3 linked regions of the Pelodiscus sinensis genome follow. The protein of the gene in region 2 purifies or fractionates together with the protein of the main gene of each other region. This does not show direct contact. Links are inferred from orthologs where the notes say so. Each region holds a gene or a part of one and is shown on either strand. Other genes may lie near its edges. The genes, in order: CRCP, POLR2H and POLR3K.

Region 1 (3,747 bases), on a different chromosome or scaffold from region 2:
AATGCGTTGCTCTGGTGAGGTATAGTGCTCTTGCCTATTTTTTAAACATAACATTTATTTATGTATTTTAAAATATAATTATAGTATTTTTTCCCAATTAAGAATGTCCTAATTAAGTAAATTTGCATAACTCAGAGCAAACTTGTTTAGCTTAACGATAGTGAATGGCAATTATTTTTTTTGTTGATGGGGATAGAATTATTATACATTTCACTTAATAGGGAAGCATTTGGCAGGTGTTGAGTGATGGGAAACTCTAAACTTCAGTCTGCTAATATGGAACTTTTCAAATAAACATTAAAAGAACACAATAAAGATGAAATTTAATGACTATTATTCTTTCATTTGCGTTCTGTGCAGTATGCTTTTTTTTAATAATCTTGTGTTAAGGGTCCACCTTCAGGGAATTTTTCACTATGATTATTTAGGATGTTAAGCCAGTCCAGGGGCTGTCCCAGTTAAGATGATTCTGTTGTGCAAGTTAAACACTTGATGATACAAATATTCTTACACAAATTAATTAATTGTGTAAGAATATTTGTAATAGCTATGTTTGAAGTTTGTGAAAATAAGTAACTCCTAAAGGCAGCAATAGCTAGGAATTGTAGAGGATTTAACAGAATTAAATCTTGAAGATTTTATTTAAAAAATTCTCAGAATTTACTGAAAAATGTCCGTCTCGTCCCGTCCCGTCCCCCCCCCCCGATCAGTAAAAAAGAGAGAATGGATTTGTGACCGTTTCTTTTGAGACATGCATAATTTTCTGTTTTTCAGGAAAGATGCAAATGCTGCATTGCTGAGTAACCTTGAGGTAAGTTAATTTGCTCCATGATTTTAAACTGACAACTTAACATCATCACAGCGAGTCAAAATATATTCTTTTTGATGTCAATGAAAACATGGACCAGAGCAGATAAAAATGTCTCCAAGAAATCTGGGAGACCTGTTTGTGACTTTTGCTTTTTCACATGTGGATTTCTTTGTTTTTAATTAGCTTGGTAAAATGGGGGCTCTCATCCTGGTTTAAAAGGTGACTTAGAAATGATATTATTGGCACTGTTTGCATGACAAATATGAGCAGGGTTGGATTAGGGATGTAAGCAACTAGTTGACTACCTGATAAGCAAATGCTTATTGGGTAGTTAAGTAGGAACTCGACTAGTTGCTCCCCCCCACACTTGCTGCCTTTATCAGAGGGATGCAGCAAGGGGGCGGGGAGAGCACCGTCTACGTGGGGGGGCAGGAGAAGTAGAAGGCATCGGGGAAATGGCACAAGTGGGGATCGAAACAGTCCCACTCGTTCCGGTTGGACTGCTGCTCCTCTCCATTTGAAACGTACAAGAGCTACCTGCGGATTCCCGCTACTTTTCCCTTTGAAATATAACATTTCAAAGCAAGAGGCTCAACAGGATAGCAAGCACCCCCCTTACTGACTAATCGAATAGAAATTCCATCAACTACTCTATTAGCGAATTAATCGAAATTTAACATCCCTAGCTTGGATCCCAAATCAGTAATAAACCCCCAAATGTTAGAATTGTGTGTGTTCTTAAATCCATGAGAAAATAGTCCTTCAGAACATTTTAATTATCTCTCTCTTCATTCACATGTTTATGTTAATTTTCTGAATATCCTTACTTTGCATGTAGTATTCGTAATCTAGGGTTTGATTCTCCACTCTTTTACACCAGTTTTTCATCTGGGAAACTTCCCTGGTTTCTTTGCAGTTATACTTTTTACTCATCAGGCCCAAAATCTTTAAGTTGTCAACTTTGTATCCATAGAAAGTGATGCCTAAGGCCAGGTCTCCACTAGGGGGGCAAAGTAGAAGTAAGGTTCACAACTCCAGCTATTTGAATAGCATACCTGAAGTCAACATACCTTAGTTCGACTTACCCCATCATCCCTACTGAGGGTGTCGACAGGAGAAACTCTTTCATTGACTTCCCTTACTCTTCATGACCTGGGGGAGTACTCGGGTTGACATGAGCGTGACCGATGGTCCATTTAGTGTACCTTTATTAGAGCCACTAAACTGACCTCTGGGAGATGGTTCTCTGCAGCATTGATCTCCCAGTCAGTGAAGACAAGGCCTAAATGGAAAACCAGTTTTAAGAGAGAGCCAAGAGAATTATACATATAAATCAAAAATGAATACTACAAAAAATAGAAACATGGACAAATTGCTAAGTATGAGTACAGAAGAATAGCACATGCATAGAAGGACAAACTCACAAAGACTAAGAGCCAAAATGCATAATTCGTAGAAGAGGCCATAAATGGCTGTAAAAAGAGGCTCTATAAGTAAAGAGTGAGAGAAAGACGAAGGAAAGTGTAGACCCAGTACTTAGTGGGAAGGGGAGTTAAGAATGGATGCCATTAAGAAAGCTGAGGTGTTAAATGCCTATTTTATTCACTCTTCACTAATAACGTTAATAGTGAATAGCTATTTAACACAGTTAATATTAGCCAGGGGAAAGGTGTGCGAACATTAGGTAAATTAGGTGTATTCAGGTAAGCAGGGCCTGATGAAATTCACCTTAGAATTAGGGAGCTAGATGAAGCAATCATTAGTGATTATCTTTGCGAGCTCATGGCGAACAGGTGAGGTCTCATATCTGGACAGGTACAGAATACTTATCTTTAGAAAGAGGACCCATATAAAGCAATAATATCAATATGTGAAAAGATGCTGGAATCAATTATGTAAGCACTTACTGGATAATGAGGTAATAAATAATAGCCAACATGGATTTGTCAAGAATAGGTTGGTCTGCCATGATTTGATTTCTGTCTTTGAGTTAGTGACCTAGTGGATGGGAAGAAGCTGTAGGCATGATATATATTAGGGTATGTCTATACAGCACACTTATTTCAAAATAAGCTATTCCGGAATAGTTATTCCGAAATAGTTTTTCGAAATAGCACATCTACACTGCAGGGAAGCCTCAAAATTAGTCCAAACTAGGCTTCCCTAATGTAGATGTGCTATTTTGATTTAGAGCCCCTGGAGGCACTGAGGAGGAATAACTTAGAATGGCCTTGGTGAGGAGCTATTTTGAAATAGCAGGAGTGCAGAGTCTCCATATGCTTATTTCAAAATAACTATTTCGGAAAAGGCATTTTTCCTAGAATGAGGTTTGGGACTTCAATCACCCTGACATCTGTTGGGAGACCAATACAGCAGTACACAGGCAATCCAGGAAGTTTTTGGAGAATGTTGTGGGGATAACTTCTTGGTACAAGTGCTGAAGGATCCGAACAGGGGACGTGCGCAGCTTGACCTTCTGCTCACAAACAGGGAGGAACTAATTGGGGAAGTAGAGGTGGGTGACAGCCTCGGAAGCAGTGATCATGACATGGTAGATTTCAGGATCCTGACCAAAGGGAGAAAAGAGAGTAGTAAAATACACACCTTGGATTTCAGAAAAGCAGACTTTGAGTCCCTCAGAGACCTGATGGGCAGAATCCCCTGGAATGCTAACATAAAGGGGAAAGGAGTCCAGGAGAGCTAGCAGTATTTTAAAGAAGCCTTATTGAAGGCACAGAAAGAAACCATTCCAATGTGTAGCAAGAGAAGCAAACATGGTAGGAGACCGGATTGGCTTACAGGGGAAATCCTTGGTGAACTTAAGCACAAAAAGGGAGCTTATAAAAAGAGGAAACTTGGACAAATGACCAGGGAAAGCTATACATGTATAGCTTAAGAATGCCGGAGGGTTATCAGGAAGATGAAAGTGCAATTGG
Region 2 (3,747 bases):
ACCCGGCTGCGGCGTCTCTGCCGCCAGGGGCCATCGCTGCTGCGCAGAGCCCAGGTGCCTAGCCGGGCAGCCTTCCGGTGCACATGGCTAGGGACCCCCACCTGCCCCGGCCCCGCGGCTTCCCACGCAGCCTCCGCAAGGATCCGTCGGTGCACCGGCTCCTCCCCCCGGCCGCAGGGGCAGCGTTTCTGGGCGGGAGCCAGCCAGGCCAAGGGACACCTGGCTCCTCTCGTCCCCCGGGGGCGCTCCCTGCCCCGGGACGGCAGGGCAGGCGGGGATGGAGGAGTCACTGGCCCAGCAGGGCCCAAGCAGAGGGAGGGGCTGGGCTGGCAGCTGACGCCGCACCTGCCTGGGAGCGCAGCGCAGCCCCGCGTGCAGCAGGTACCCGAAGGGGGGGGCGGGTGGTTATGGGGCCCAGCCCGGGGCCTGAAGGGCGCCCCTCCCCCCAGCCCTGGGACCAATGGGCGCCCCTCCCCCACCTAATCACCTGTCCCCCCCCCCCCCCGGGAGATCGGGAGAGCCCCCCCACGGGCAGTGCGGGGATGGGCCTCGCCCTGGGTGTTTGTGTAGGGTCGCGGGGGCCGGGCTTTGCGGGGGGACGGGATTGGGGGCGGGTCTATGGGACGGGGCCCCGGACACCCCGACAGGCGCTGCCCGCAGGTGCTGGGAGCAGCCGGGGAGGGAACCCAGGCGTCCGGGACACCAGGGGGCGGGGCGGGGCTGCGAGCGCCCAACAGACGGGAGGGAGCCTGTGCGCATGCGCGGCGTAGAGCCGGGCCGGGGGAGTGCTTCCGCCCCGCACTGACATGGCGGCGCCGCGTGGGCTCTAGCGGGCGCCTGGCCGGAAGTGAGGGTCCGCCGGCCCCGAGCCCCTGCGCCCGCCGCGCGCCATGGCCGGGATCCTCTTCGAGGACATCTTCGACGTGAAGGACATCGACCCCGAGGGCAAGAAATTCGACCGGGGTGAGTCAGCGCCCCCCCCCCCCAGGTCCAGGGGGCCGGGCCCCATAGCGCCCCCTCCCCCCCACGGATCTGGGGCCGGGCCCCATAGCGCCCCCTCCCCCCCACGGATCTGGGGCCGGGCCCCATAGCGCCCCCTCCCGCCCACGGATCTGGGGCCGGGCCCCATAGCGCCCCCTCCCCCCCACGGATCTGGGGCCGGGCCCCATAGCGCCCCCTCCCCCCCACGGATCTGGGGCCGGGCCCCATAGCGCCCCCTCCCCCCCACGGATCTGGGGCCGGGCCCCATAGCGCCCCCTCCCCCCCACGGATCTGGGGCCGGGCCCCATAGCGCCCCACGGATCTGGGGCTGGGTCGGGAGCAAGGCCCTTGAATAAACAGGTCCAAACCTCCCTCCCCCAAGATCTGGGTGTGAACGTGAACCGAAACTGCGTCCCGGGTCACTGGTTCTGCTCCTTCTCTCCCAGTTTCCCGCCTGCATTGTGAAAGTGAGTCTTTCAAGATGGACCTAATCCTGGATGTGAACATACAGATCTACCCCGTGGACCTGGGTACGTAGTAGGGGGCCCTCAGGCTGGCAACAGATAATCCTTGTATCAGGCAGCCCCTGCTGAGCTAGAGCCAGCTGCTGGCGGAAGTGCCCATAACACTATGGGCTTGTCTACCCAGGGTATGAAGTTTAATTAAGGAAAAGGCTGTGTGATTTAAAGTGCAGTAAGCCCCTGTCTGCATGCTGCTGTTCTGAAGGAACGAGGCCTTCAATTAGATCCAGTGGTCACATGCAGCTGTGATGTGAGGGGAAGCACTTCACCTGCCTGACAGCTCCATGACCTCTAGGGATCATGCTACTCAGAGCGCATCACCTGGCACTTGGATGTGCTGTTGAATGCCCTGATTGCCCTTCCTTGGAGCTGGGAGCCCTGAATACTGTGTGCCTGAGTGACTGTGCAGATCGGGGCGAGGAGCCAGTTCACAGGTGGCTTGCTTCTCTTTGCCATCAAGCACCGTTGCAGTAAGATGCAGCCTGTATGCCTTGTGTGCTTTGGTTTCGGAGTTCCTTCCTGGCTACGTCTACACCGGCAGCTTCTTGTGCAAGAACTGTTTTGCGGAAGAGTTCTTGCACAAAAAGTCTTCCACAAGAGCGCGTCTACACTGGCATGTGCTTTTGCGCAAGAGCATCCATGGCAGTGTGGACGCTGTCTTGCGCAAGAAAGCTCTGATGGCCATTTTAACCATAGGGGCTTCCTGTGCAAGAAATTCATGTGGCCCGGCTACACTGCCCTCTTGTGGAAGAGCTCTTGCGCAAGAGGGCTTATTCCTCGTGGGGAGCGGAATAACTCTGCCGGCAGAAGCCCTGTTTTACAACGCTGTACTGTAAATTTACTTGCGCAAGAACGCGCGTGCAGTGTAGACAGCAGGCAAGTTTTTGCGCAAGAACAGAAGCTGCCGGTGGCGACGTAGCCCCTGTGTGGGATCATACTTCCTGTGCCCAGCTGGCCTCCTTGGGAGCGTGCCTTTCACCTGCTCTCTGTTGGGTATTGCAGGTGACAAATTCCGTCTGGTTATTGCCAGCACCTTGTATGAAGATGGGACCCTGGATGATGGGGAGTATAACCCCACCGATGACAGGCCGTCCAGGTAACGGGGCAGCATCTGGCAGGGAGTAGCTCAAGAATTCAGTAGTGTCTCATGCAGGCTGAGGTCAGTGAACGGAGGGGTAAAGAAAGTGGGGAAAGCGTGGAGCTGGGGAGCTGCCCTGGGTCAGCATCCCTGTCTGATCACGTTGGCCTTTAAACACCAGGGAGAAGGGGCTAACCAGAGCAGCCCTTGGTTCCCAGCCTTTGTCTGGCAGATTCCCACTGTGGTCAGTCGGCAAGTGGGCACTGCTGTCTCCTCGCACGTTTGCCGCTTTTGCTTTTGTGCCCGCGCTCTGCTCTCTTGTCGGCCGCCGTTCATTTTCTCTGTTTTCCTTGTCATCTTTCACTTTTATCTGTCCTGTTGAGTTTTTGGTTTCTAAACTCTCTTATCCGTAATTAGACAGTCCTCGTCACTGCTGTATCTGAGCAGCCCCTATCTGTTCTTGGCGGCCCTGGTTCTGTAGCTCCTCCATATTCGCCGGGGGTTGCTTGAGCTAGCTGTGGCTATTGGTGGTGCTGTAAGGCCGGATTGCACGTGCCTTCAAGCTTCACTTAGTGCTGTGGAGGTAGAGGCCAGACTGTGCTTATGGGGCTGGCTGCATTGGGGGCTATCTCAGGCGTGCAAAGCAGACCAGGTGGCTTTCCAAGAACCACGTGGTGCTTTTCCCCTGCGTTGGGCAAGAGGGTCTGATCTGTGGCCATGTACCTCCCTCCACCCCCACTGTCTTGTTGCACGCAGGGCCGACCAGTTTGAGTACGTGATGTATGGCAAGGTGTACAGGATTGAGGGAGACGAAACGTCCACGGAGGCAGCCACGCGCCTGTAAGTGTCCTCCTTGCCCTCCCCTCACCCCCATACCATTCCCCTGCCGTCCACAAGAGGTAAGGGGGGTGGTTCTATGCCCCACCAGGGCACAATGTCCCAAGCTTGGGTAGCTAAGGGAGGGACAGCATGGTCCTGCTCAGAGTTGCTAGTGGGTCCATAGGGGAATGCCGGGGCACTGAGCATAGAGTGGTGAGTGGAGGCCGTAGCCAGCGCTCCCTGTAGCCGCCAGTGTGCTCCCTGACACTGATGAGGTGAGCAACTATGGCTGCCTCTTGGCTGTAAGACCTCTAGAGCCCGAGTGATGCCCCTCCCTGATCCGTGGGT
Region 3 (3,747 bases), on a different chromosome or scaffold from region 2:
CAACTAGTGCATAAACCTGCACATGGAAAATCAAGGGGAGAAGGGGCTAATATTCTGCTGCTCCAGCTGCAGGCATACAGGCCTCTACCTCTTTATTTGGGAGCCGGGAAGCCTACACGTACTTGTTTTCCCTACAACCTTCTACTGGATCCTGTGCCCCCAACTCTTGAGTACAACAGAGACAAGAGCTGGGTGGACACTTCGTGGTGATGCAAGTGACCTAGCCTCTGCATTGTAGGAGGCGCTGGTGACCCACCACCCTACACCATAGCATCCAATACGCTAGCCACATGTGGCTATTTGGCTGGCTGAGGGGCTAGTTTGCTATAGCAGCAACCACTATACTGGCTACTGATTCAGAACTGGTTAGACACCACAGCTCTAAACAGAGGCAGCTCTTTGTTCTGCTGTGTGTGCCATTAGGAAAATGTGCAGTATATGCATAACCTTCACCCTGGACCATCAGATTATGGTGAATGCCTGCACTAGCAGCAGTCAATGTTAATTTAAACTCATGCAACAACTGAAACCAGGGATATTTATTTCCACATTACCATATATCATACAACTCAGCTGGGGAATTTTCAAACAAACAGCAAAAACAACACTGAAGAAATTAAATCTGAAACCAGTCAGTCCCTCCACCTGTGCCCACACTGGGCATTACAACACTTGTAGAAGGTGGTCATGGGTTCATCAGCTGATCTGGTCTGAATCTGCATGAAGTAGGCGCGAGGATGCTCACACTTGGGACATGGCTCTGTAAAAGAAACCAGAACTCTAGTGAGTACAGCTCCCAGGGTAATAAAGCAAATTCTTCATTCTGCCAGGGGAGCTCACTGTGAGGGCCACTCTACCTGATGGACTAGAATGCAGCCTTCCACAAGCCATTCAAGAGAGATTTCCAAATGTCCACTGGCTCACTTTTTACATGATGAGAGAACTTAAAAGGGCCTTCAGGGGTAGATGAGAACCTCAGGCCACTGTGCTTGAGAACACCCCCTAATGGCACTGAATTTAGCATGTTGGGGACTAGCTGGTTCTAAAATACAAGGGCAACACTAACTATCCATGGAGTCATTGTGGATAGTTCTCTGAAAAATATCTGCTCAGTGTGCAGCAGCAATCAAAAGAGGTGACAATATTAGGAACCAGTAGGAAAGGGATAGGCAATAAGACAAAACATATAATACCACTACATAAATCCATGGTGCAACCACACCTTGAATAATATGTGCAATTCTGGTCACCCCCTCTCAAAAAAAATAGATCAAAATTGGAAAGGGCGGCAAAAATGATCCGTGGTATGACTCAGCTTCTATAGAGAGATTAAATAGCCTGGGGTATTTCAGCTTGGAAAAGAAATAACAGAGAGGATGTGACAGAAGTCTATAGAATGATGACTGATATACAGAAAGTAAATAAGAAAATATTTCCTCCTTCACATGTTATTTGGTGACTCCAGGTTCTTGTGTTAACAGGTAGCAGATTTAAAACAAACAGAAGGAAGTGTCTCTTCACAAAACACAGACAACCTGTGGGACTCACTGCCAGGGGATATTGTGAAGGCCAAAACCATAAAAGGTTTCAAAAGAGGTTCATGGAGGAGAAGTCCATCATTGGCTATTAGGCAAAACTAGCAGGTACACAACCCCATGCTCTGAATGGCTCTAGCTTGACTGCCAGAAACTGAGAATGGGTGACAAAATCCATCACGTGATAACCACACGTTCTATTTGTTCCCTACAAAGCACCTGGTGCTGGCTATGTAATTGGACAGGATACGTAGAGCCCTGCAAATCTGCGGATACCTGCTTTATGTCCGCAAGTATCTGGGGAAGCGGAGACCAGCAGCTCATTTCTGCGGATGTGGATGCAAATTTTTTAATCTAGAACCCTGCAAATCCGCGGGTATCTGCATCCGCAGAGGGGTGGTACGTGCAGGTGTCTGCGGCTCGTTGTGGGGGCTATGGATGCGGCAGGGCTCTAAGGATATGGGCTAGGTGGCCTGTCGCTGGAGCCAGATCTCCTGGAAGGGGGCCCGGGGCCGGCTGCTGGCCCAGGCCAGTCGGAGAGCAGCGCAGAGGCCGGCGCTCACCCGCCGTGGAGTCCACGTTCTCCCAGGCCGCCGCGCCGCCCAGCACATCGTCCACCTCCTTCAGCTTGGGGTACTTGCGGCTGCTCACCTGTGGGGACAGGCTGTGAAGTGCCTGCCCAGCCCCCACCTGGTAGGCGGGGCTCAGGCACGACAGGAGCCCCGCCCACATCAGCCCCACCCTCCTAGCGATTAGCTCCGCCCCCAGCAGCCTCCTCAGGGCAACCCCCGCCCAGGCTCTGATTGGTTGCTCTGCCCCAGCAGGTCGGCCGTTGGGGCTGTCAGTCCCCGCCCACCGAGGTGGCAGGGGGGGGCGGGGGTTACCTTGCGCGTGACGTTGCGCACGTAGGGACACGTGGTGCAGGCGAAGCGGTGGCACCTCGCGCCTTCCTCGGCCACCAGCACGTTCCCGCAGGCCGGGCAGAACAGCAGCATTTCTGCTTCCGGGTCACGGCGCGGCCCCGCCTCTTCCCCCGAGCGGGTCACAGGAAGCCCCGCCCTGCCGGCGGCGATGGCGGAGTCGGGCCCCGAGGAGGAGGAGCTGGCGCACGCCGAGGTGCTCGACCTCTTCCAGGAGGGGCTGGCCCGGCTCGTGCAGGACCCGCTGCTCTGCGACCTGCCCGTGCAGGTAGCGCCTCCCCTCCGCCCGCGCGGCGCGCGCCCGGCCCCGCCCGCGGCCTCGTGACTGCCCCGCGGCACTGACCGTTAACGAGTCGCACGGGGGGAGGGGGCGTGTCCCGAGCTCGCGCCCCACGTGACTGCGGGTGGGGGCGGGGCGATACAGCCTTGGAGGGGGTCAGACCCCCATGGCTGCAGGAGCCCTGCCGGCGCCGGGCGCTTCATCGGCCCTTCGCTTCCCGGCAGGTCACGGTGGAGGAAATCAATTCGCAGATCGCGCTGGAGTACGGCCAGGCCATGACTGTGCGCGTGTGCAAGGCGGATGAAGAAGTGATGCGTGAGTCCCCCGCACTGGCCTGCGCCGTCTGTGCGGGGTGGTGTTGGGAGCCGCTGGGGGGCCGCTCTGCTCTGGAAAGCCCGCAGCATTGAGTCCATCCCCTCTGGCTGGCGGGACTCGGGCTATGGGGCTAAAACTTGCGGCATAGACATGTGGGCTCAAACTGGAGCAGGGATTCTGAGATCCGCTCCTAGGCTGTCTCTACACCGGCGGGTTCTTGCACAAGAACACGGCCACACTGCCACGTGCTTTTGTGAAAGAGCATCCCTGGCAGTGTGGATGCTCTCTTGCGCAAGAGAGCCATTTTAGCCATCCGGCTTTCGTGCACAAGAAACTCCTGCCGCGCGTCCACACTACCCTCTTGCGCGAGAGCGCTTACGCTTGTTAGAAAAGAGCGTAGCTCTTGCACAAGAAGCCCCATCTTCTGCCGCTGTACTGTAAGTCTCGCACAAGAGCAGGCGGGCAGTGAGGCTGCTCTGCGGGTTCTTGCGCAAGAACGGCCTGTCTTCATTACAGTGTAGCTTTACCTTCTAAGATCACATATATGCTCTAAGTACACGGTTGTCATGTTAAATGGCACATGCAGGGACGGTGTTGAATTGTGTCCCCTGCAAATCACAGCCATGTCCGTGCTCTGAAGCATTCGTCTGTCAGAAGCTGGAGTGAGCAGGGGATAAATGGGAAAGTCAACTAGGTA

What was found.
Region 1: the proteins of POLR2H (region 2) and CRCP purify together in Homo sapiens (affinity purification with mass spectrometry; 3 studies listed by BioGRID and IntAct, with this or other methods). This does not show direct contact. The link is inferred for Pelodiscus sinensis from reciprocal best matches to the Homo sapiens genes POLR2H and CRCP.
Region 3: the proteins of POLR2H (region 2) and POLR3K purify together in Homo sapiens (affinity purification with mass spectrometry; 3 studies listed by BioGRID and IntAct, with this or other methods). This does not show direct contact. The link is inferred for Pelodiscus sinensis from reciprocal best matches to the Homo sapiens genes POLR2H and POLR3K.

What each region holds. Positions count from the first base shown.
Region 1 is NC_134731.1:20,054,858-20,058,604, reverse strand, and holds the start of CRCP (DNA-directed RNA polymerase III subunit RPC9), read left to right. Parts: upstream 1-751; coding exon 752-811; intron 812-3,747. UniProt on the Homo sapiens protein: DNA-dependent RNA polymerase catalyzes the transcription of DNA into RNA using the four ribonucleoside triphosphates as substrates.
Region 2 is NC_134720.1:48,355,957-48,359,703, forward strand, and holds the start of POLR2H (DNA-directed RNA polymerases I, II, and III subunit RPABC3), read left to right. Parts: upstream 1-750; 5' UTR 751-890; coding exon 891-963; intron 964-1,427; coding exon 1,428-1,511; intron 1,512-2,504; coding exon 2,505-2,598; intron 2,599-3,336; coding exon 3,337-3,420; intron 3,421-3,747. UniProt on the Homo sapiens protein: DNA-dependent RNA polymerase catalyzes the transcription of DNA into RNA using the four ribonucleoside triphosphates as substrates.
Region 3 is NC_134726.1:4,941,166-4,944,912, reverse strand, and holds POLR3K (DNA-directed RNA polymerase III subunit RPC10), read right to left. Parts: upstream 2,554-3,747; 5' UTR 2,531-2,553; coding exon 2,420-2,530; intron 2,187-2,419; coding exon 2,099-2,186; intron 761-2,098; coding exon 633-760; 3' UTR 525-632; downstream 1-524. Other genes in the region: SNRNP25 (U11/U12 small nuclear ribonucleoprotein 25 kDa protein), read left to right, coding at 2,607-2,723, 2,960-3,050. UniProt on the Homo sapiens protein: Core component of RNA polymerase III (Pol III) which synthesizes small non-coding RNAs using the four ribonucleoside triphosphates as substrates. Can mediate Pol I proofreading of the nascent RNA transcript.